Mus musculus: one gene and its partners. The protein of the gene in region 1 purifies or fractionates together with the protein of each later gene. This does not show direct contact. Links are inferred from orthologs where the notes say so. Each region holds a gene or a part of one and is shown in the gene's direction. Other genes may lie near its edges.

Region 1 (4,087 bases):
ATAGCCAACCTCTGGGCACAGCAAGAGCCAAGTGGCCCACTGGACTCCGTAACGGTCCCGGGCAAGCCTGGAAGAGTGCAGAGATCTGAGCCGCGCCCTGCGCTGGGTCCGTCGTCCCGCCTCGCTGGTCCCTAGCAGAACTGGAGCTGGGTGACACCCCGCGGCCAGTCCTGGGCGAGCCTTCCCCGAAAGGGGCGCGCCTGCGTTGCTCCGGGTTGGCTACAAGAGTCCTGGAGTTAAACTTTCAACCAATAAAAAAGGGCATGGGGAGTGACGCACGGGATCGTCACGGGAATTCCCCCCCTCGGGGGGCCGAAAGGGGCTTTCCCGGCTGGAGCCCTTTGGCTGGAGAGGAGCAACGACCGGTCCGGGGAAGGGCTCGGAAAGAAGTCGGAACCAGAGCCGCCACCACGGTGAGTGGCCGGGTTCAGATCCCTGAGTGTCTAGGGAATGGAGAGGGAGGGAAGGAGGACTTTAGATGACAGGCTGGGGCTGGACGCCACCTCCAGTGAGCGCGCACAGGAACAGGACACTTTGCTACACATCAGCGACACGTCTGCCTGCCCTTAGCTTGCCTGTGCACAGCCGGCCGGTGTGAGCCCCGCACACGCACTCACAGCGCACCCGTGCACCGGCGCCTGCGCACGGACATCCAGACGTGCACGGACGTGTGCCCACACTGGGCAGTACAAGGACTCACCTGTGTGGATGAACGTTCACTTGCACGTGCCATGATGCCACCACTCACCCGGCACACAAGACATTAGGGCTGAAACGCATATTCCTGCAACGGACACATGCGCGTTACACTGGCTTTGGGATTGGAGTCGCCAGGGAGGGCGGGATGCTCCCGTTTGACCGGCCACCGGGAGCAGGTGCAGCGGGAGAATCCGGGAAGCTAAGACGGAATCGCTAGAGACCGTGGAGGGGGAAACTCCTCCCCCCCACACACACCCTGAGGCCCGAATCATATTCTCTGGTCAGAGCCCCGGAGGCCCCACTGGAAGAACCCCCGCCTACGGGCCATTCGGAAAAGGGGCCTCCGACGGCAGGAATGTCCCCACAAAAGCCCCTGGGTGAATCAGCCGTGTCCTCCACGCTGGCTGAAAATCCCAAGTTTGCTCCAGGCTGCGGAGAGGGGGCGAGGCGGCTAGGCCCCGACTGAGCCCCAGGGGCTACAGAGGCTGCCCGGGAACCAGGAACCGCCTGGGCCTCCCGCCCCTCCCGCTGCGGGGGCGTGGCCCCGGCGTCATTTCCAGGCCCGCCCCCTCCGGCTCCGCCTCCCCCTGGTATTTTCGGGACTTTCCTAAGCAGCACTAACTTTCTGCCCCTTTCCCGGGCCAGCCCCGCTCCGGATCTCGACCTCCACCGGATCTTACCCGCCACGCCCGGACGGGCGGCTGGAGGAGATCGGACCCTCCCCCAGATCTGAGCCCCCCTCCCCTACCCATCCCTCTCCCCCTGCCCACCCCTATCCTGATATCTTTCACTCTTCCCCCTCCCACGCCTCTCTTCACCTTAGGCGGGCGTCCGAAACTCTGGAAAGCTGAACCGGGGCCCGAAGCCGCAAGACACAGCAGGGCCTAGCCCAGAGATATGGACAATTGCTACGATCCAGTGAGTCACACTGCCTGACCCTGAGGGCGGCGGGTGCCCTCTGTGTCTGCTTGTCAATTGGACGCTCCTCCACTCCCCTACTTCTGCACTGTCTTCAAATTGTCTTAGTCTGCCAGTCTGTGCTGTCTGCAAACCCTGCCCAGAAATGAGCTTCCTCATAGCTTGAGGAGGAGTCCAGGGAGTGACTGCAGAGGGCTTGGGAGGGGGTGGTTGGGGGGACCCTTGATTCAGCTGCCACCTTCTCTGTCTATAACGCAGGGCCTGGATGGCATCCCCGAATATGATGATTTTGAATTCAGCCCCTCCATCGTGGAGCCTAAGGATCCAGCCCCTGAGACAGGTCAGTAAGTCTTTGGCCTCGCAGTATCTCAGAACCTAGAGGAGAGTGAGCATGTCCCCTGGAGGCCCCACTGAGGGATGGTCTCAGAGATCCTGGCTCAGCAAGGCCCCTCTATTTCCAGCTGATGGCCCCTATCTGGTGATTGTGGAACAGCCCAAACAGGTGAGTGAGTGACAGAGAGTGGTGGCTTCACCTTTGGGGAAAAGGTGGGGCGGGGGGGGGGAGGGTAGTTATACCTACTGATCAGATTAAATAGCTTGCTGCTGATATGTTGGGGGCTTATGAGAAGGAGGTACACTTTTGGTCACTGTGGTCAGTGATGGCTAGTGGTTGCCTTGTGGGGATGACGGGGGGGGGGGGGGGGTTGCCTCTCCTGATCACAATGTCTCTGCTATGGAACCTTCAGCGAGGCTTCAGATTTCGATATGGCTGTGAAGGCCCCTCCCATGGAGGTTTGCCAGGTGCCTCCAGTGAGAAGGGCCGGAAGACCTATCCTACTGTCAAGGTGAGCTCAGATGACACCGGAGGGTAGGGATGGTGTATGGGGCAACTACTGACTATCCTTTGCCATTCTCAGATCTGTAACTATGAGGGACCGGCCAAGATTGAGGTGGACCTGGTGACACACAGTGACCCACCTCGTGCGCATGCCCACAGTCTGGTGGGCAAGCAGTGTTCAGAGTTGGGAGTGTGCGCTGTGTCTGTAGGACCCAAGGACATGACTGCTCAGTAGGTGGCCCTGGCCCCTGGCCCCCAGTGGGATGCTCATTGCCTGCCAGCCTTAGGTCTCATCTCAGGCCACCTGTGTGACTAGCACACAAAGTGGGAAGATTTACTTTGGCCCAGGAACCTCAGAGCTCAACTATAAAGAGCAGTTTCCTTGGAGAACAGAGCCAGGATGAGCCTGACCATGGGGGGTGGAGCGTGGGGGTGGAGGTGCCTCAGGAGGAAAGAGCCTCATGGTCAAAGAGGACAAAGCCTCCTCCTTGTCCTCTCCAGATTTAATAATCTGGGTGTCCTGCATGTAACCAAGAAGAACATGATGGAGATTATGATCCAGAAACTTCAGAGGCAGCGTCTCCGCTCCAAGCCTCAGGGCCTTACAGGTATGGTAACAAAAGGTGTTCCGAGAGGTGTTCCTAGAGGAGCCGGGAAGAGCAGCCCAGAGCTCACACCACCCACATTGTCCATCCAGAGGCTGAGCGGCGGGAGCTAGAGCAGGAGGCCAAGGAGCTGAAGAAAGTCATGGATCTGAGCATTGTACGGCTGCGCTTCTCAGCTTTCCTTCGAGCTAGCGATGGCTCCTTCTCCTTGCCCCTGAAGCCTGTGATCTCCCAGCCCATCCATGACAGCAGTGAGTATTCTGCAGGGGGCCAAGCATGCATTCCCAAAAGAGCGCTTGAGATACCTTCCAGCTATGGGTCTGAACCTGGCCCTGCCACGTGTGGGGTGGTGAGTGCTCGGTAGTCAGAACATCTGAGTGTTGCTTCTGAGTGGTAAATGTGAATACTGCATTTCCTGAAGTTTGATAATGACCCCACCGAGCCTCCGATCCCATCAATGTGTCCCTAACCCATCCCCCACCTTATAGAGTCTCCAGGGGCCTCGAACCTGAAGATCTCCCGAATGGACAAGACAGCGGGTTCCGTGCGCGGTGGAGACGAAGTTTATTTGCTCTGTGATAAGGTGCAAAAAGGTGAGGCAGAAGCCCTCTGGGAGCTGGAAACGCTGGCTGTAAGGGTAATTTCGGGATCCATGCAGCGGGGCTGCAGGCTCTCCCTGTGGCTAAGCCGCACTTTTCTCTGTAGACGACATTGAGGTTCGGTTCTATGAGGATGATGAGAATGGATGGCAAGCCTTTGGGGACTTCTCTCCCACAGACGTTCATAAACAGGTACTGAGGGACTAGGGCCTGTCCTGGAGACAGAACTACGAAGAAACCTTACTGACACCATGTTGCTCTCCCATCCTCCACCCCAGTATGCCATTGTGTTCCGGACACCGCCCTATCACAAGATGAAGATCGAGAGGCCTGTAACGGTGTTCCTGCAGCTGAAACGCAAGCGTGGGGGCGATGTCTCGGACTCCAAACAGTTCACATATTACCCTCTGGTGGAAGGTGAGTCGGGC
Region 2 (3,996 bases), on another chromosome or scaffold:
CCACATTGTCTAAATGAATGGCCTTTCTCGGTGTCCAACAACAGATGTCGGCTTGAACTTGTCTCCAGAAAGAAGCTAGGTCTGCAAAGTGGTCACAAGCAGACAGTGGTCTGGCCCTGGCTCAAACCTTTCCAGACAGGCCGTTCCTTATTTCTCAAACCAGCCAAGAATATGGCTGCCACTCCCACCATACCACCAGTCCCTGCATCTGCAGTTAGGATTCCTTGCAGAGTCTCTAAGGTCGCAGCGCATCTTTTATTCTGGAAACATTTTTTTAAAAAACACATATTTGTAATTTCTTATTACCAGTAAACAGAAGCTTGTGGTACAGTAGGAAGCCCATTAGCAAAGTTAGAAAAGAAAAAAAAAATCCATAAATTCCCTACACTCTTTCCCGGCCCCATAAAAAGGGCACTGTAGAGAGCACGTTTTCAAAGACCAAGTCTTCCTGACTCTGTAGTTTAGAATGGATCCCGTGCTCAGCACACACACCATGAAGCTTCTCGGGGTGGAAGGAGACTGTACCACATCTGCACACTCCCTTAGAGCGTTTCAACACCCGGTCTGTCCTACATAGGCCTTTGGCTCCCCACACTTCTCGAGGGTAGGCAGAGCAACCTCATCTCCACACACTTTACAGAACCGGGCTCACTCTACGTGCTCCATAAAAATGTTTCTGGCCCCACCAGGCCCCCACGAAGCAGCCTCGCCCTCAAGCAGAAAGCAGAGAAACCCAAGACCTCAGAGCGAGAGCGCCCCGCCGTCTCCAAGGTAACCAAAGCCGAAGCCGGGAATGCCCACGCATGCGTACAGTCGCCCTTCCTTCCCGTAACCTCAAAAAGAATGCAGCCCGTAAGATTTGCCAGAAGGCGAGAGCGCATGTGTAGTTCAACCAACACCCTGGCCTCCTTCGCCTACAGACCGCCCATCCACCCAGCCTTCGGCGCTGGATACCCTGGCCGGAAACAGTGCCCATTTTGGGGAGGCCTCGCTAGCCAATCGCTGCTGAGGAGTGGCCGGCAGGCCGACCGGATCAAGGCGTTTTATTGGCTAACTTATAGGAATGGGTGGGATCAAGGGTCGCGGTGCGGCCAAAGAAAGGAGGCGGGAAGCTAGCAAAGTCGCAGCCACGGGGGGAGGCGTGGCCCGGGGCGGGGATAGGCACGGGGGCGTGGTCGAGGAGGGGCAGCAGGGGCCCGGAGCGATCGCTGGCCAGCGAAGCGCCACACTCGCTTGTTTGAGGACAACGGCGCTCCGCCGGTAGGTGACTGGGCAGAACCCCGAGTCCTAAAGCGGGACGCCGAGGGAGCGGGCGGGGAAGGGGCGCCTCCCAGGCGGGGACTGGGTTGCAGCCGGGCTGTCCACGAGGGATGGCTGGGAGGGGTGGCCGGGTGACTACGGTCTAACCCGCTCGCACGCTCAGCGCCATCAGCGCCACGCTCGAAACGCCGTGCTCGCCTAGAACCTCCAGGCCGCGCACCCACGGGTCACACGCTTGCCCGGAACGCGCGCGGGTACTGTCTGCTTCCCTTTCCCCAACATCCGTGCCATCGAGTTCAGCCGCCCTACTGGCAGACCTGGCTCCTAAGTGTCCCCCAAGAGAAGGTGATCGCTCCACTGCCCTAGCAGTGACATGAGCAGCCTTTCCCTTTGAACTGCTTGGGATCACTTGTTCTGAGAGGATCACTGCTCTGGGCACTCAGTAGAGCAATGCTAGTCGCTGATGGTGCTGTCCTCCCTCCTCGATGGTCCTTACCCTTCTCTAATTCTGTGTTCTACTCGGAACTTTTGGAATCTGTTTATATGTACTAGTCCCGTCCTGGAAGCTCTTCCCGGCTCTGGCAACTTTCAGCCACCTGTCACCAAGTGAAAAGAAACATTTGTCTGAGGCAGAGATTCCCACCTGCTTTGGAACCTCATCATGTTCATTAACTTCAGACCTCCCCCCCTCCACTCCCCACCCCCCAGTTGAGATTAAAAGATGGCTGACAGCCCTAAAGGATGGATAGGGGTGTGCATGGGCTGTCAAGTGGATGAGTGGAGAAAAGTTTCAAATATCAGTGTCTTAATGACATGTTGTTGTTGTTGTTGTTGTTGTTAATTGGAGACAATGAACACTAATGACTGGATTAAGGGCGCTAAAAGAATGAACTGAACGAGGAGTGGCACCATGACCAGTGGACTTCGGAACACTGGCGAGTATCTAGAAACATAGTCTCTCTGAAAGATTAGAGGATTGTTTCCTAACTTCAGTTCTGCAGGGTTTTGCTTAGTAACTTTCCCATTTAGTGGTAGGTGTGGTCAGATGCATAGACTGTTGTCCAGTTGGTAAGCGAAGTACCTGAACCAGGTGTGAGGGATGATATGCCTCGTCTGTGGCCTCAGAGCCATGAGTGAGGGTGAGTTCTCCAGATCCCTGAATAAGAACAGCATAACCTAACTTTGATAGAGAAAGGGGGGGGGGTTGGGGTGATCTTTTTGCTGTTAATGTGAGAGGATGCTTTGAAGACTCTTGACTTGCTTATGATGTATGTGTGTATTTCCTCTTGTATTTAAAGTGATGTCAAAGGCAATTCCTTTGGATGGATGCCAGCTTTATGAGTTTTTCAGACGCCCTTAAGACATCTTGAAAACTAGGCATGGTGGCACACACCTGTAATCCATCACTGGGAGGCTGGGACAAGGAGGATTTGTTGTGACTTTGAAGCCTGTCAGGGCTTCATAGCAAGGCCCTGTCTCAGAGCACCAGAGAGGAAAAAGAAAGAAAGAAGACATCCTGATTTATTTGGAAGAGTGTGATAAATTTCTCAGAACAGCTCATAATAATAGTTAGTATGTCTGACTTTAATTTTAGAAATAAGTGCCCAGCTGTACATACCCAGAAATACATACCAGAAGTTTGTGAAATCAAATAGTACTACGTGATCAGGCTTCAGGCTTCAGGTCATTTTCGGATTGTTTTTGGGGTGGATGGAGCAGTTCTGAAGGTTGTTGGTTTTTTTGTTTTGTTTTGTTTTGTTTTGTTTTGTTTTGTTTGCCTCTGGTGTCTGTTAGAGTTTGTGGGAGTGGCACCACAGACAGAGACTCTGCCAAATGAACCTTTATCTCAAAAAAAAAAAAAAAAACCTGCCTGGTTTTGCCATTCATTCTTGGCAGATAGGAGTGTGGTTCCTCATTTTGGTTCCCCTGATGAACACAGATTCCTTTGTGATCGGCTCGGGCTGGAGAGGACAGGGCTCGCCCTGATTGGTTGCTCCACCCCAGACAACTGTTGTGAGATTTTTGGTGAGTTCTAGGGTCCATTCTGAGCTAGGGGCTGGGAGGAGATCGGTCGGATGTAAAACGGATAAAAGCTCAGATCTACGCTTGTTCCTTTAGGCCATCCCCCCCCCCCCTTGTCTTAAGAGTTTGCCTGTGAAGTCACTTTTAGTTTCTTTTTTTTTTAATTTTGTATTTATCTATTTATTTTTAACTTCTTGTCTCAGTGGACAGCACATGGGCTTCTTACAGGTGCTTCTCCCCCGGGAAGACCTGATTGGCTTGACAGATTTTTCCCCCCAAGAAGAAAAAAGAAAACTGAAAACTGAATTCAGACCCAGTAGCAGGTCAGCTCGCTGCACATGCAGACAGACAGACAGACAGACGGCTCCTCCGATAGCACCCATCGGCTAGATGCTTTTTTTTTCTTTTTTTCCTGGCAAAAGGTTAAAATGCAACTAAAATTCTGCTTTCGTGATTAATAAGTCACTACCGCAGTTGTGTGTGATGCTTCCTGTTTGCCCCGTTTTAGCATTTCAGTTAAACTGGAGACCTCTGAGCACCCTGGGCACTTCTGGTGGCACCATCGTGAGGTGGGTGGGGAGAAGGGTGGGCTTGGAGAGTTGGATAAGTCAGCCCTCCCTGCACACCAGGATCCCGAATAAGGGAAAGGAACGGTGGCGTGTCTTCTCGGGTAGGGCGAGCTGTTCAAGTGCGAGCACTCTGTTCACTTGGTAA
Region 3 (3,500 bases), on another chromosome or scaffold:
TGTGAGAGTCACTGAGTTTCTTCAAGAATTTTTTCCCTAGGTTATCTAAAGGCTGGCTTTAGTTATTTGGTTATTTTTTTAGTTATTTAGTTGTGTTTATTATTTATAGTGGATGTTTTCAAAATTCTGGGTTCATTAAGCAGCAACATTATTTTTGTTTTTATTTTGTTAATTATCTAATGCCCCTTCAAATCAGAAATTTTATAATTGTTGTATTTCTCTGGTTATTACATTATACAATTTTTTTAACATATAGAATTTTACCTATATTCCTTTTTGGCATTTCTACTAATCATCATCCATCAGAGAGAGAAAGAGAGGAGAGAGAGATGACATAAAAATTGGATTCTTACAGCTCTTAATCATATAGCCATGTGTGGCTTATAGTTTAAATATAATGCACGTATTGACATTAGACTTAATAGCTTAATTTTTATCAAAAGAAAGGAATAATGTGATATTAAATAGTATCCTCATAGCCTATATTTTTTAAAATTACTATATACATGTAATAAATATCAGTTAAATAGCACAAAAAACTAACACATCATTCATACAATGATCCTGAACCCTCAAATTTGAACAGAAAGAGTTTTGCTTGCTCTTTTCTTAGATAATTACTCTAAATTCCTAGTGGTGTTAAATATAGTCCTAGATATAATCTGGCATTAGATTTGAGTAAAATCAGTGGAGTGAAGTACAACTCTGGGGAAAAGCAAAATTGATATTCCCCCCCCCCCCCGGTATCTTTTCCCTTTTGGAGTACTTTTTAAAAATGACATTGTCCCAGAAGAAAAGTGTTTATTCTTGTGCCCTTTTTCTACAGCAGAACTCTTTGAATAAACTTAGAAAAGTAACATGAGATCTCCTTTGCTTCCATCGGGGCGTAAAATAATAGGGGACATTTTTTGTAAGTGAAGTAGATATTCATCTTGATTATTTTACATGGCCGATACCCTCCTCTAGAATATGCATATGTGTAGTATGTTCATGTGTTCAAGTGGGTGTACATATGTACATGCAGATGTGGTCTACCACTGAATCGAGAGCTTACCCATTCAGCTAGAGTGGCAGCTGTCCAGTGAGCAGTGACTGTAGCTAGAATTGCCATGCCTAGCCTTTTACAAGATGGGATCCAAGCCCTTATCTTCATCATTACACATGAAATGTTACTGACTGAGTCATCACCAAGCTCCAGAATTTGAAAGTGTTTTAGAATTTAAGAAGTAAGCACAGGTGATTAACAAAAGGCAAAGCCCCAAAAGATTCTCTTGCCTTCGGTGTTCTTTCAAAGACTTCCTGAGGAAAAAAGATGTTCGGAAGGAGAGAGCCCTGGCTTAGCATATCAGCTATGGTGTTTTGTTTCCTGCTACTGGGGTGTTCTTCACTTGGGAAGTGCTTTATGTCTATGTGGAAGAATAATGGTATAGGCTTAACCCTATAGGGAATTATGTTATTTAAAACTTTATTACCATTTATTACACAAAATGTACTTGTATATATATATATTTTTGATAATTGGTGTGAACAATTTCAAGTCTCTTTATCAACATTTATTTAGGTTATCTAAGTGCTTGAGCACTAGGCTCACACAAGAAACCTGTGATAAGTGGCATTGCTCTCACCTTGTAAGTAAATACCAATAAAATCACAGGTCACCCAGAATAAAGCCTCAGATTCCTAATATGAGATTAGTGAGCATTTTCTTTGCTCTTAAAATCCTGCTTTTCTTGATTTGTTCAGCCACTGAAATGCAGTAGTCCTAGCAAGATGCTCAGCCTGGGTAGAGTAACCTTTTTTTCTGTGATTTTTTTTTTTTTTTTTTGAAGTGTGAGTATGCCTTCCCTATTTCCTTTTCCATAGTTGGCACTCTATGTGCTTTCATTCCTGGAACCCAAAGACCTGCTGCAAGCGGCTCAGACTTGTCGATACTGGAGAATTTTGGCTGAGGATAACCTTCTCTGGAGAGAGAAATGTAAAGAAGAGGGTAAGTTCAGAATCACACACAGATGTGTTTCTACTCTGGAAACAAGTTAACAGAATAACTTGGCTGTGAGTGAGAGTAGATGGCTGGCTCAGGTGCCTGCCAGAATGCGTCTGCGTCTGTTCACTTCCTTGATCCCAACAGGAAAGGAGGCCACCTGATTTAAAGGAAGCCACAAATCTGCAGTTAAATACCCACAGAATTGAGTATTGTATATACTCCTCGAATAAACACTTACTGTGCACCTCCTGTGAGCTGAACATTTGTAAATGCTGGGGACATGGCACTGCTTCATCCTAGTCTCCCTGTTGTGGACCTTCTATTATTAAGTATAGTTTAGTTTGGCTTCAAAGGGAGAATCTTCTGTTTTGTAAACAGGTATCTAGAAAAGTAATCATTTAGAAAAAAATAGCTGTTTCTGAGGGGCAAAATGCTTGAGGGGGGAATGGTAATGCTCTGTTCTATAGATCAGGCCCCTTGGCAGCCGTGTGACCAGGTAGAGAGCACTGACGAGTGAGGCGGAGGAGGGAAGACTCCAGGGTAGGATCTCAGGTGCTTCTTGCTGAGCCTGGTTCTACAGTCAACCTCTGGCTGTTCCTAGATTAACTGATAAGATCCTCTTCTTAAGTTGTGCGGGTTTTTTGTTTTGTTTTATGTAAACCACGGTGAATCAACTCTGCCTTACCTTCTTTCTCAGAATCTTTTTTCCCCTTGAGACAGGGTGTCTCTATACAGACCAGGCTGGCCTTGAACTCATGAAGATCCACTTTCCTCTGCCTCCTGAATTAAAAGGATATGGAATTAAAAGGGTATGCCACATACCTAGCTTAAGAGTTCTTTTTAAATGTCCTCTTAAAAAACTATATTTCGTAAAAATGATTCTGAACAGCTTGGTTTATATAGCAAGTTCCAGGGCAGTCCAGACTGTGATAATAACCTGAGGTAATGGGGTTCATTGTACTCATAGCACTTAGGAGGCAGAGACAGGATTGCTGAAAGCTAGAGGCCATCTTGGTCTCCATAGTGAGTTCAAGCCATTTTATTGAGTAGGATGCAGTGATATTCTCCCCATTCTTCCATTCCTGTTGCCTACATGCTTTATAAGTTTACTGTTGTAGGAAACTATGATAAGTGAAATTATACAACATTTGTCCTTTTGTGATTGCCTTATTCACTGAGCAAAATGTCACAGCGTGTATCCCCGTGTCCTCTGTTAAGGCGAGCAGCATTTCAGGGTGCACTGCTGCATTTGGTGTTCATCTATGGAAAGGCACGGTGACTTGTATGGACAGCCGTTCACATCTCTGCTTTTCATCCTTTTGCATATACATGCAGAAGTGAAAGTCCTGCATCCTGCACTGCGTTTGTGTATTTAGGAGTCACTGTGCTAATTTCCACAGCAGTGCACATACAGTCTCATCTTTGCGTGTTCATACCAGCACCTCCCACAGTCACTGTGAGAGAGAATGGAGATAGAACAAATGGAGGTTCAGTGCTGCACAGCCCAGTATCTGGG
Region 4 (4,015 bases), on another chromosome or scaffold:
TAACAGTCCGTCAACATTAGACAAGGCCATTCTGTGGCCTTAGCTTATGGATCAAGACAAAAACAAGACCACCCCATAATCATTTGTGAACACAGATAAAACATGGACATTGTCCAAGTCCCTGAAACACAGCTACAAGACTAAACACTTGAATCTGGCTAACAGGAGAGGCTGTCAACAATTACTGGATTAGTTTTAATCTAATATAACTTCCCATAGATAAGGCTGAGGTGCCCAGTCTTATACCCCCACTTCCCGGCAGTATCTGCTCCAAAGCCCCTTCAAATCCTTTTCTACATTACCTAAGGTCTCTTACTGAGACGTCCCTGCTTCATCATGGTGTATGTTCATTTCTACTTCAGCTAGGAAAAAACCCACCTTGTTCAACTATCAGCGTGTTCCTGGGGGCTTTTGGTTCGAGGGTATTGACAGACTTGGAAGTCACAAGGAGTTAGAGGTTCTCTGAAGTCTCTAGATGCGTTTCTTCATATCATTTCTAACTCTTAGTCAATGTCTGCTGTCTTCCCACTAGAATTAAGCTGAATAAGAACAGAGGTCTCTCCGGTCATTCCCAGTGCTTAGGGCAGTACTAGTAGAAACTGAATGCTTAAAAATAAGTGTCTTCGGCCGGGCGGTGGTGGCGCACGCCTTTGAGGAGGTGGAGGCAGGCAGATTTCTGAGTTCGAGGACAGCCTGGTCTACAAAGTGAGTTCCAGGACAGCCAGGTATACAGAGAAACCCTGTCTCGGAAAAAAAAAAAAGTGTCTTCAAAATGTATAGCTTCTTTCTCATGGCTCAGCTCCTCCCAGTCAGTGTGGCAGATCTCCACACACCGCTTTCCCAGCTCAGTCTCCAAACTCTTAGATGCCCATCTTCCTTTAATTGTGTCTTCGACCTCGCGGGCCCCCTCCCACACTTCCTAGTGCAACCTGGGACCCACCTGTCTCCACCATCTGTCCCTACCAAATGCAACACACACGGAACGGCAGCGCTGCAGCCTAGACGACTAGTGGGCACCGCAGACACCCACTGCGCATGTGCGGAGATCGCTCGCTCGCACTGCAAAGATCTCCGACAAGTGAGGAGTTGCCTCGGAGTTTCCGTCCAGGTCCGTGCGGCTACGGGCTGCCAGGAAGTCAGGAACGACCAACCGGAAGAAGACCTCGCGCGCGAGGATTTCTGGGACAAGTAGTCGCGGCGCTCGCGAGGCCCTATCGCGAGCAAGCCCTAGATACTCCAGCTCTGCACGTCCGGCACTCACAGCCCTGCGCTCCCCTAGGTGCTCTCTCCGGTGGCAGAAGCCGGCAGATTGGACCAAGCGGCTTCTTGCTCCCACAAAGCTGCGCGAGCCGCCGCGGCTGCCGGGAGTTGTAGTCTTCGCTGTGCGTCCTGCGTCGGCCGAGGGTGAGGGCGGAGCTGCGGGCGGCCCGGGCGGGCTGGCAGCTAGAGTGGGTGCGAGAGCTGCCTCCACCGCCGCCGCCGCCACCGCCTCCTCCGCCCGGGCCGATCGCTGCTGAGCGGAGAGAGCGAGGCGGGGCCGCCGGGGCCGCCATGGAGCCCGACTCGGTGATTGAAGACAAGACCATCGAGCTCATGGTGAGTGCGGCCCACTGGCCTTCAGTTCTTCCGGCCGGCCGGCGGCCGGGGGGCCTGCCCACCCCGGCGTCCGCGCCAGGCCAGCCCTCGTTCCCCGCCGCCTGGGCCCGGCCGCCCCCCTGCTATGGCTCGTTGCTGACGCTTCGCGCTCTTGGGCCGGCACGGCCTCCACTCCCCGCGGCTCCCCCAACCCCCTCCTTGCCGGGCTCCGGCCAGTCTCCGGCGCCCCAGCCTCGCTCCTGCCGGAGCCACTGCTCACTCTTGCCTTGCCATCACACTCTGTTTTTAGAAGGGGATTTCTTTTTCCCTTCCCTGGATTCCTCTGGCCGGGCCTGCATCGCGCCTCCCAGCCTCGCTCAAGCTGAGGGTGATGGTGGTGGAAGGGAGTCCGAGACCAGTTGGAGCCGCTTCGGCCTCCATAACCTAGGCGCGGGGGGTGGGGTGGGGTGGGGTGGGGTGGGTGGTAGGGGTGGGTCTCAGCACCCTCGCCCCAAGCTACCGCTGTATGGATGCCAGGATAGCCCCATTGGACTGGGATGTTGGGGGTGCCTACGAGTCTGAGGCTGTTCCGGATAAGGGGCCTATTTTCCGGGCCCCTGCGGTGTCAGGCTTCTTGGACAAAGGGTTTCCTACCCTGCCGTGAAGGATGTTTGTATAGCAAGGCCCTAGGTACTCTTGAATTCCATCCCCCAGGAAAGGGAAACCATAACTTTTATCATTTGGGAAATGAGAGGGGAGGGAGAAGAGGTCGCGCTCATCACTGCCACCCTCTCTTATTTTAATAATAAAAAATGGGAGGGGGGTTTCTTGGCCCACGGATAAGCAGCGATCCCTGTACTGTTAGGAACCATTGGTAGCCAGCCTGGTCAGGTCTCCCCGGACACCCCTAACCCGTTTCTGACCTCAGACTTGGTGCTAGAAAGGTTTTTGGAAACAGGACTCTGAGTCTGGGAAAGTGAAGGATTTGCTCATTGGCGGAAGAAATAAAGTATGGCTGACTGGTATTACCTGCCAGTTTGAACGTGAGGGAAATCAAACTGGGCCCAGGAGAGTTGGGGAGGAAATCAGCCTCTGCAAATGAACATACAAAGGGCTTCTTCCTGTGAAAACCTTGATAGTTTTCTTTGTATCTCTACTGATATAGTAACAACTAGTATCTGCTCCACAGTATTAAGAAAAGGTGAAAGATCTGCTGAACTTAGCAAGATGTTTTCCTCGTCAGAGTTTCTCCAGTGTGAATCGCTTATTGAGTCAGTGATTCCACTGGGTAGGGTTGGTGACATCAGAGCCACTTCCCCCATTTAATGCTATAAATAATAAATGGTGATACTGAAAGTCTGTTGGATAGCCTCATGGTTTCTGTGGATGATGTTATCCAGGGAGCTGAGGTACACGTTTTAAAATGGAAGTATAGTAGCATAAAATACAGAGTCTCATGTCTGCTGGACTCTGCACAATGTGCAGAACTGGATTGTTGAAAATTAAACCTGGAAGTTTCTGGTTGGTTGTATGTGTTGAAAGGAATTCTGTCACTTTATCTTCAGGTTCTGAGGACTTTTTTCCATTTTCAGAATCGAATTGTTGGTTATAACAGTTTGGGAAACTTTGATAGTTATTTTAACAAAATACCTTTTTTTTTTTTTTTTTTTTTTTTTTTGGTTTTTGGTTTTTGGAGACAGGATTTCTCTGTGTAGCCCTGGCTGTCCTGGAACTCACTCTGTAGACCAGGCTGGCCACCAACTCAGAAATCCGCCTGCCTCTGCCTCCCAAGTGCTGGGATTAAAGGCGTGTGCCACCACTGCCTGGCGACAAAATATCTTTAAAAAGTTGTTGTTTAATAGGGAACAAAATAGCCATGAAAGGAGTTACAGAGACAAAGTTTGGAGCTAAGACAAAAGGATGGACTATCCAGAGACCACCCCTCCTGGGGATCCATCCCATAATCAGCCACCAAACCCAGACACTATTGCATATGCCAGCAAGATTTTGCTGAAGGGATCCTGTTATAGCTGTCTCGTATGAGGCTATGCCAGTGCCTGGCAAATACAGAAGTGGATGCTCACAGTCATCTATAGGATGGAACACAGGGCCCCCAGTGGAGGAGCTAGAGAAAGTACCCAAGGAGTTGAAGGGGTCTGCAACCCTATAGGTAGAACAACAATATGAACTAAGCAGTACCCCCAGAGCTCGTGTCTCTGCTGCATATGTATCAGAAGATGGCCTAGTCAGCCATCACTGGGAAGAGAGGCCCCTAGGTCTTGCAAACTTTATGTGCCCCAGTACAGGGGAATGCCAGGGCCAAGAAGTGGTAGTGGGTGGGTAGGGGAGCAGGGCAGGAGGAGGGTATAGGGAACTTTCCGGATAGCATTTGAAATGTAAATAAAGAAAATATCTAATTAAAAAAAAAGTTGTTTATGTA
Region 5 (3,500 bases), about 2.2 Mb from region 1:
AGTTCCCAGCAACCTGTTTAGGGCAGTGAAAGCCTGGCCCACCCACTGTTCTAAGTAAGCAGTGTTAATCGTGTAAGAAAACTAGTCTCCTGGCCAAGGGCTGCATCTGTGTTGGAATTTGGGTTAGTAAGGGTTAAATCAACCAGACTATTCTCTCAAACACAGGCAACATAAGTCTCTTAAGAATTAAACATACAACCATGCATAAATTTACTTTTTAGAAAATATGTATGTCTGTACGTGTGGGTGTATTTCATTTGTATAGGGGTACCCAGAGTCCAGAAGAGGGCATCAGATTCTCCTGGAGATGTTGTTATAGGCACTTGTGAGCCACCTGACTTGAGTGCTGGGATACAAATCTGGGTTCTCTGGAAGAGCAGCAAGGGCTTTTGACAACTATACCTAGCCTTGTCACTTTAATTTTTGATGTATAGCTGTCAATGAACTATACTTCAATGTCTTAGAATTTATAGTTAATTTAAATTTTTTTTAAATCCATGTGTTAATTTAAATGGTGTGGTAGTTTTTCATGGGGCGATGTGAACAGTCCATTTACCCCAGACAGTACACCAGTGACAGACAAGTCATGACTTTGTCCTGGTCGTGTTTGGCAAATCTGAATTTCCTCAGGATTACTTAGAGGTGCTTCAGGAGCTACATTTCTGAAGAAAATCTCTCCTCTTTCTGTCTCTCTGCAAGAGAACCTCTTAGGTTCTTGAAGAGGGGTAAGGCCTCCTGCACCCCTCTCTGTTTCATGGCAGACCGTTAGTGGACCTCACCTTACCTATGTAGTCACTGCTTCTGAGAGCTGTGACAGCTGAGAGCTAAGACAACAGCAGTGCCACACTTCAAGGACAGTGTTCTTCAGCAAAAGGAGAAATTGTGTAGACTGCTTGCAGCTTTTTGAGCATCTTTAAGGAACGTCCTGTTTGGAAATTGATGTGTTCTGCAAAGGAGAGGTTGTATAGACTACTAACTGAAGTCGTTTCTAGATCACTTGTACAGCGACAGCACAGAGATGGTGAAGATCATCGTGCACACCGTGCAGAGTCAGGACCGTGTTCTCAAGGAGCTGTTTGGTCACCTGAGGTAGAAAAATTGCTTTATTCCCTCCTAAATGCCATTATATTTGTGTTCCTTAAAAATCATAATACTCCTTTTTGATAAATAATAATTGTCAGTATCTTATAAAACATGGTGCTGTGTAAGCCCTGAACATATGCATTACTTTCTATTTTATTTATATGTATGGGTATTTTGCCTGTATGCTTGCCCCACGTATGTGAGGCCAGGGGCATAAGATGTGGAACTGGACTTACAGATGGATGTGACTGGTGCTGGGAATTGAACCCAGGTCCTCTGGAAATGCAGCCAGTGCTCTGACCCTCTGAGCTATGTGTCTGGCTCCTCATTCACTGCTTTTGAGGCCATCCGTTCACTGGTGTGCTGGTTGTGCTTTGTCTCCTCTGGGTGGGGCATGGTGGACAGTTATACAGAGAGGTGTGGCAAGTATCTGACACTGACTCAATCTTTCCAGCAAGTTGTTGGGCTGCAAGCAGAAGATTATTGATCTACTCCCCAAGGTGGAAGTGGCCCTCAGTAACATCAAAGAAGCTGACAATACTGTCATGTTTATGCAGGGAAAGAGGCAGAAAGAAATTTGGCACCTCCTTAAAATTGCCTGTGTAAGTAATTATTAGTGAAGGTAATACTGAGTTACTGTTATTTTCTGCCACAGAGGCTTTTTTATTGCTTTAAGGTATGTCCTTTGAATAGTTATACTTTTTTGTTTGGTAGGTTTTTTGTTTTTTTTGAGACAGGGTTTCTCTGTGTAGCCCTGGCTGTCCTGTAACTCACTCTGTAGACCAGGCTGGCCTCAAACTCAGAAATCCACCTGCCTCTGCCTCCTGAGTGCTGGGATTAAAGGTGTATGCCACCACAGCCCGGCGAATATTTATACTTTATATTGGGTTCACACGTTCCTTGTTCAGTATCCAAGTAATTATAGAGATAGGATGTTTGTATTATCACTCTCCTTTCCAGTGCTGCTGCTGGTGGACGTGGTGGTGGTGGACATGGTGGTGGTGGTATATGTGTGGTTGTTTGTTTCTTTTGAGATAAAAGCTCTCTCTAGCCTAGACTGGAAGCTAAACTACCTCACAGCAATTTTCCTGCCTCCAGTTGCTGAGATTAGAAGTGTGAGCCACCATACCGAGCTCAGTCCCCGTTTTACAGTCCTCCCTACTCTGGATCACTGTGGTTGCCCAACCCAACATGGAGTAAATGCATCTGACTTGTTAACAAGTCAGCCTTGTTCAGCTGTCCCCTTCCCCCAAACAAAAGCTGAATTAGAGGTATTCGACTCATTTAGCTTTAGTCTGTGTAGATAGAAACACTCAGTTTTAGTCAGTGAAGAAAAGGGGCCAGAGATTACAGTATATTTAATAGAGGTGAGACTAGTTTTGTTCATAAACAGTCCAGGTTTTATAAAGTAATAATTGAATTATATATCTTAGAATATAGTTTTTTTTAAATGGTGTGAATCAACAGGTGCTCGCCTGTAACTTATTGTGTGTGTGCATGTGTTTTTTCCTTCAGACACAGAGTTCTGCCCGCTCTCTTGTAGGATACAGTCTAGAAGGCACAGTAACCCCTCCAGTATCAGCATGGCTGCCCCCTACATTAGCAGACCGTGAACATCCTCTGACATGTGTGGTAACTCCTCAAGATGGGTGGGTTTACTTTGTAACAATAGGCAGTTGTGTTTCAGGGAAAGGGGGAGGACAGAGGTGGCAAGCATGGTGGTTAATGGTGCCTTCAGACCCGGGCTCTCAGTTTTCTTCTTCTTCTTTTTTTTTTTTTTTTTTTTGGTTTTTGGTTTTTGGTTTTTGGAGATAGGAGATAGGATTTCTCTGTATAGTTCTCACTGTCCTAGAACTCACTCTGTAGACCAGACTGGCCTCAAACTTAGAAATCCACCTGCCTCTGCCTCCCGAGTGCTGGGATTAAAGGCGTGCACCACCACGCCTGGCTTTTGTGAGGTCTATTTCTTAAATTAAAATTTTTCAGTGCTTTAAATCATTTGCAAGTAAGAACTCAGATTTGCAGCGCTGTATTTTGTCTCTAGTTCCTCCTCTTCTGCTTAAAGCTGAATGTCTGTCCGTCTGTTATTTTCCCAGCGTAAGGTGTGCCGTGGTCAGGAGGCTCTTTGCTAGCTTGTGCACTGTCGCTTTTCTCTCGGCTCATGGAGACCTCCACAGCACCAAGCACTTCCCACAGGTCTCCCCCTGATTAGTTTTACAGACATGCTCTCATGTTACATGGCTGCTCGGGAGGTCACATAGTGGCATGCTCTGTGCTGCCTTTATGAGAGAGCAAGCACATGGCAGGAAGGCAAGCGCTTCCAGGTATTTCCTTGTAAAGAAAGCGAGTTCCAGGGCAGGTCTCGGGCTCACTAACTGTGTGGCCCAGGATGAGCATGTAAACAAGTAGAGTGGAGA
Region 6 (2,554 bases), on another chromosome or scaffold:
CTGTCAGCCACAGGTCCAGAGATGCCAGGATACAGTGGTTAAACCAGGGCTACCCATCTGCAAGGTGACTTCCCTCCAGAATTGTTCCCGAGTATGAGCCACCAGCCCAGCCTGACCATGATGAGAGGATCCATCCCATGTCCCCAGCCAGGGGCAGAGGATGCGGGTTACCCTCTCAGCCCCGCCTCATGAATAGACTGAGGTCATCTGATAGCCAGAGTCCTGAGCCCCAGGCCCTTTTGGGGACTTTTACTGTTATTGTCACTGTATCTTTTGTTTTATTTATGGTGCTGGGGCTGGAACTCAAGGGCTGTGCATGCTGGTCAGGCCTCTGCTCTTTGTGGAGGAAGATCAAAGATTTGGCGGCTTGATCCACAGATCATGTGCGTGTGCTTTCATTTAGAGTCCCCGGTCTCATGCCCTGTAGATCCCAGACACAGCAGACTTAGGCTTGCACCTGGAATTCAGGAGCCTGTATGCATACCTAGGAAGGACTTGAGAAGCCAGCCCTGGGACCTGACATATTGGCATCCTTAGCTCACATGGCCCTTTCCTAGGATGAACACAGAGCCAAGGCTTCTCTTTTTTTTTTTTTTTTAAAGGTTTATTTATTATATTATATGTTAAGTACACTGTAGCTGTTTTCAGATGCACCAGAAGAGGACGTCAGAGCTCATTACCGGTGGTTGTGAGCCACCATGTGTTTCTGGGATTTGAACTTAGGACCTTCAGAAGAGCAGTCAGTGCTCTAAACCGCTGAGCCATCTCTCTAGCCTGAGCCAAGGCTTCTTACCTCATCATCTGACACCAATTGCTCTGTTCCCAGGCCATACCCCACTCCATGTAGCTGTCATCCACAAAGATGCAGAGATGGTCCGGCTGCTCAGGGATGCCGGAGCCGACCTCAATAAACCGGTAAGACACTGTGGTGGGCCAGTGTGGGGAAGGCACTGTCCTCTCTTCAGTCTCACTGACCTCTCTGGCACATCCTGCAGGAGCCTACGTGTGGCCGGACCCCTCTGCACCTGGCAGTAGAAGCCCAGGCAGCCAGCGTGCTGGAACTTCTCCTGAAAGCCGGTGCTGACCCCACCGCCCGCATGTATGGGGGCCGCACCCCGCTTGGCAGTGCCCTGCTCCGGCCCAACCCCATCCTTGCCCGCCTCCTCCGTGCACATGGGGCCCCTGAACCTGAGGACGAGGACGATAAGCTTAGCCCTTGCAGCAGCAGCGGCAGCGACAGTGACAGTGACAACAGAGATGAGGGCGTGAGTTGGGAGTGGGTACCCCAGCTGGAGGGTCGGGGTAAACCAGCAACGAGAAAACCTAACCGGATGGATACTGTCGGGGAATCCAGAGGAGGGACACACGAGGAGATGTGGGGAACAGTCATAGACTTGGGCAAGGGTGGCAGTGGCAGCTGGACAGCTAAGGCCATCTGTCATGTGACACACACCTTTAGCCTAGGATCCCAGGATTCAGGAGGCAGAGGCAGTGGATGTGAGTTTGAGGCCAGCAAGGGGTGCATGGTGAGACCCTATGTGGGGAGTGACGTTGGGAGCAGCAGATGGAGAGCGGTGTAGGTTGGTGACCTCGGTTAGAGTGTCTAGATCACTTGATGGTAGGGAAAGACCTCAGCCAGTGGTGAGGGGGAGCATTACTGAAGAACCCAGGGGACAGCCCACCCAGGCAGGGGTGGGTGAGATGGGAGCTCGGGGAGAAGAGCCATGCAGTGGTGGGAGAAAGCAGCGCGGAGCCGTGGCCACCAGTATGGTGTGCTGAGAGTGAGAACACTGGCTTCACGGTGACACCCATTCTTTGGGTGCTGTGACCCGGGTAGTGGGCAAGGTGGCAGCTGCCTGACCCTGTGCTACCCCTCTCTGTTCCCAGGATGAATATGATGACATCGTGGTTCACAGTGGCAGGAGCCAAAACCGACAACCGCCTTCCCCGGCATCCAAACCTCTTCCTGATGACCCCAACCCTGCCTGACTTAAGTGCTAATATTAATATAATTTCCAACTTAATAAAATTGCAGACCTGACAACCAGAGCCCAGACTGACCCTGCCTTCCTGCTTATTTCAGGTCCCGACCCTCCAGAGCCGAAGTGTGATGCGAGCCCGGGTGCTTTGCTTTGTGCTTTATTCACTCAGGGATGGAGGGGTGGGCGGGGTCCTGAGTCAGCCGGAGCCCAGCCCCTGCCCATAGGCTTCTCTCAGGCTTGGTTCTCAGGCACATCCTTGCTTCCAGTCCCTACCAGTTGGAAGTGGAGCAGAATGCCCGGTGAAAGGAGGCTCTGAGGTCAACAGTCCTGAGCCTCAGGGAGTGTGGGGAAGGAGTGGCGTGGGGTCAGCCTTCCCTCCCGAGAGCCTCCCCTAGCATGGCGGTAGCCTTCTTTAACTGCTCCTGCATGCGCTCCAGCCGCTCCACATCGTGTTCCTGGGGGAGATCAGAAGTATGGTTACCACCTCGATGGCCACTGTGAATAGCAGCTCTGCCACTTCATATGCTTGGCCTGACATCCTGTCCTAGCTGTGTGTCATAGTCAGTGAGGAC

The links.
Region 2: the proteins of Nfkb2 (region 1) and Map3k14 purify together in Homo sapiens (affinity purification with mass spectrometry; 6 studies listed by BioGRID and IntAct, with this or other methods). This does not show direct contact. The link is inferred for Mus musculus from reciprocal best matches to the Homo sapiens genes NFKB2 and MAP3K14.
Region 3: the proteins of Nfkb2 (region 1) and Fbxw7 purify together in Homo sapiens (affinity purification with mass spectrometry; 7 studies listed by BioGRID and IntAct, with this or other methods). This does not show direct contact. The link is inferred for Mus musculus from reciprocal best matches to the Homo sapiens genes NFKB2 and FBXW7.
Region 4: the proteins of Nfkb2 (region 1) and Fbxw11 purify together in Homo sapiens (affinity purification with mass spectrometry; 8 studies listed by BioGRID and IntAct, with this or other methods). This does not show direct contact. The link is inferred for Mus musculus from reciprocal best matches to the Homo sapiens genes NFKB2 and FBXW11.
Region 5: the proteins of Nfkb2 (region 1) and Chuk purify together in Homo sapiens (affinity purification with western blotting; 4 studies listed by BioGRID and IntAct, with this or other methods). This does not show direct contact. The link is inferred for Mus musculus from reciprocal best matches to the Homo sapiens genes NFKB2 and CHUK.
Region 6: the proteins of Nfkb2 (region 1) and Nfkbib purify together in Homo sapiens (affinity purification with mass spectrometry; 4 studies listed by BioGRID and IntAct, counting the BioPlex papers as one, with this or other methods). This does not show direct contact. The link is inferred for Mus musculus from reciprocal best matches to the Homo sapiens genes NFKB2 and NFKBIB.

The regions. Positions count from the first base shown.
Region 1 is NC_000085.6:46,304,408-46,308,494, forward strand, and holds the start of Nfkb2 (nuclear factor NF-kappa-B p100 subunit), read left to right. Parts: upstream 1-1,287; 5' UTR 1,288-1,596; coding exon 1,597-1,617; intron 1,618-1,875; coding exon 1,876-1,957; intron 1,958-2,078; coding exon 2,079-2,119; intron 2,120-2,363; coding exon 2,364-2,462; intron 2,463-2,534; coding exon 2,535-2,686; intron 2,687-2,956; coding exon 2,957-3,063; intron 3,064-3,152; coding exon 3,153-3,311; intron 3,312-3,548; coding exon 3,549-3,653; intron 3,654-3,765; coding exon 3,766-3,851; intron 3,852-3,937; coding exon 3,938-4,076; intron 4,077-4,087. UniProt on the Homo sapiens protein: NF-kappa-B is a pleiotropic transcription factor present in almost all cell types and is the endpoint of a series of signal transduction events that are initiated by a vast array of stimuli related to many biological processes such as inflammation, immunity, differentiation, cell growth, tumorigenesis and apoptosis.
Region 2 is NC_000077.6:103,264,602-103,268,597, reverse strand, and holds the start of Map3k14 (mitogen-activated protein kinase kinase kinase 14), read left to right. Parts: upstream 1-1,196; 5' UTR 1,197-1,260; intron 1,261-3,996.
Region 3 is NC_000069.6:84,965,577-84,969,076, forward strand, and holds part of Fbxw7 (F-box/WD repeat-containing protein 7), read left to right. Parts: intron 1-1,863; coding exon 1,864-1,987; intron 1,988-3,500. UniProt on the Homo sapiens protein: Substrate recognition component of a SCF (SKP1-CUL1-F-box protein) E3 ubiquitin-protein ligase complex which mediates the ubiquitination and subsequent proteasomal degradation of target proteins.
Region 4 is NC_000077.6:32,641,340-32,645,354, forward strand, and holds the start of Fbxw11 (F-box/WD repeat-containing protein 11), read left to right. Parts: upstream 1-1,215; 5' UTR 1,216-1,551; coding exon 1,552-1,596; intron 1,597-4,015.
Region 5 is NC_000085.6:44,076,478-44,079,977, reverse strand, and holds part of Chuk (inhibitor of nuclear factor kappa-B kinase subunit alpha), read left to right. Parts: intron 1-992; coding exon 993-1,089; intron 1,090-1,537; coding exon 1,538-1,685; intron 1,686-2,598; coding exon 2,599-2,732; coding exon of another isoform or gene 2,733-2,898; exon of another isoform or gene 2,899-3,500.
Region 6 is NC_000073.6:28,758,538-28,761,091, reverse strand, and holds the end of Nfkbib (NF-kappa-B inhibitor beta), read left to right. Parts: intron 1-826; coding exon 827-915; intron 916-995; coding exon 996-1,265; intron 1,266-1,887; coding exon 1,888-1,989; 3' UTR 1,990-2,054; downstream 2,055-2,554. Other genes in the region: Ccer2 (coiled-coil domain-containing glutamate-rich protein 2 precursor), read right to left, coding at 2,348-2,437. UniProt on the Homo sapiens protein: Inhibits NF-kappa-B by complexing with and trapping it in the cytoplasm.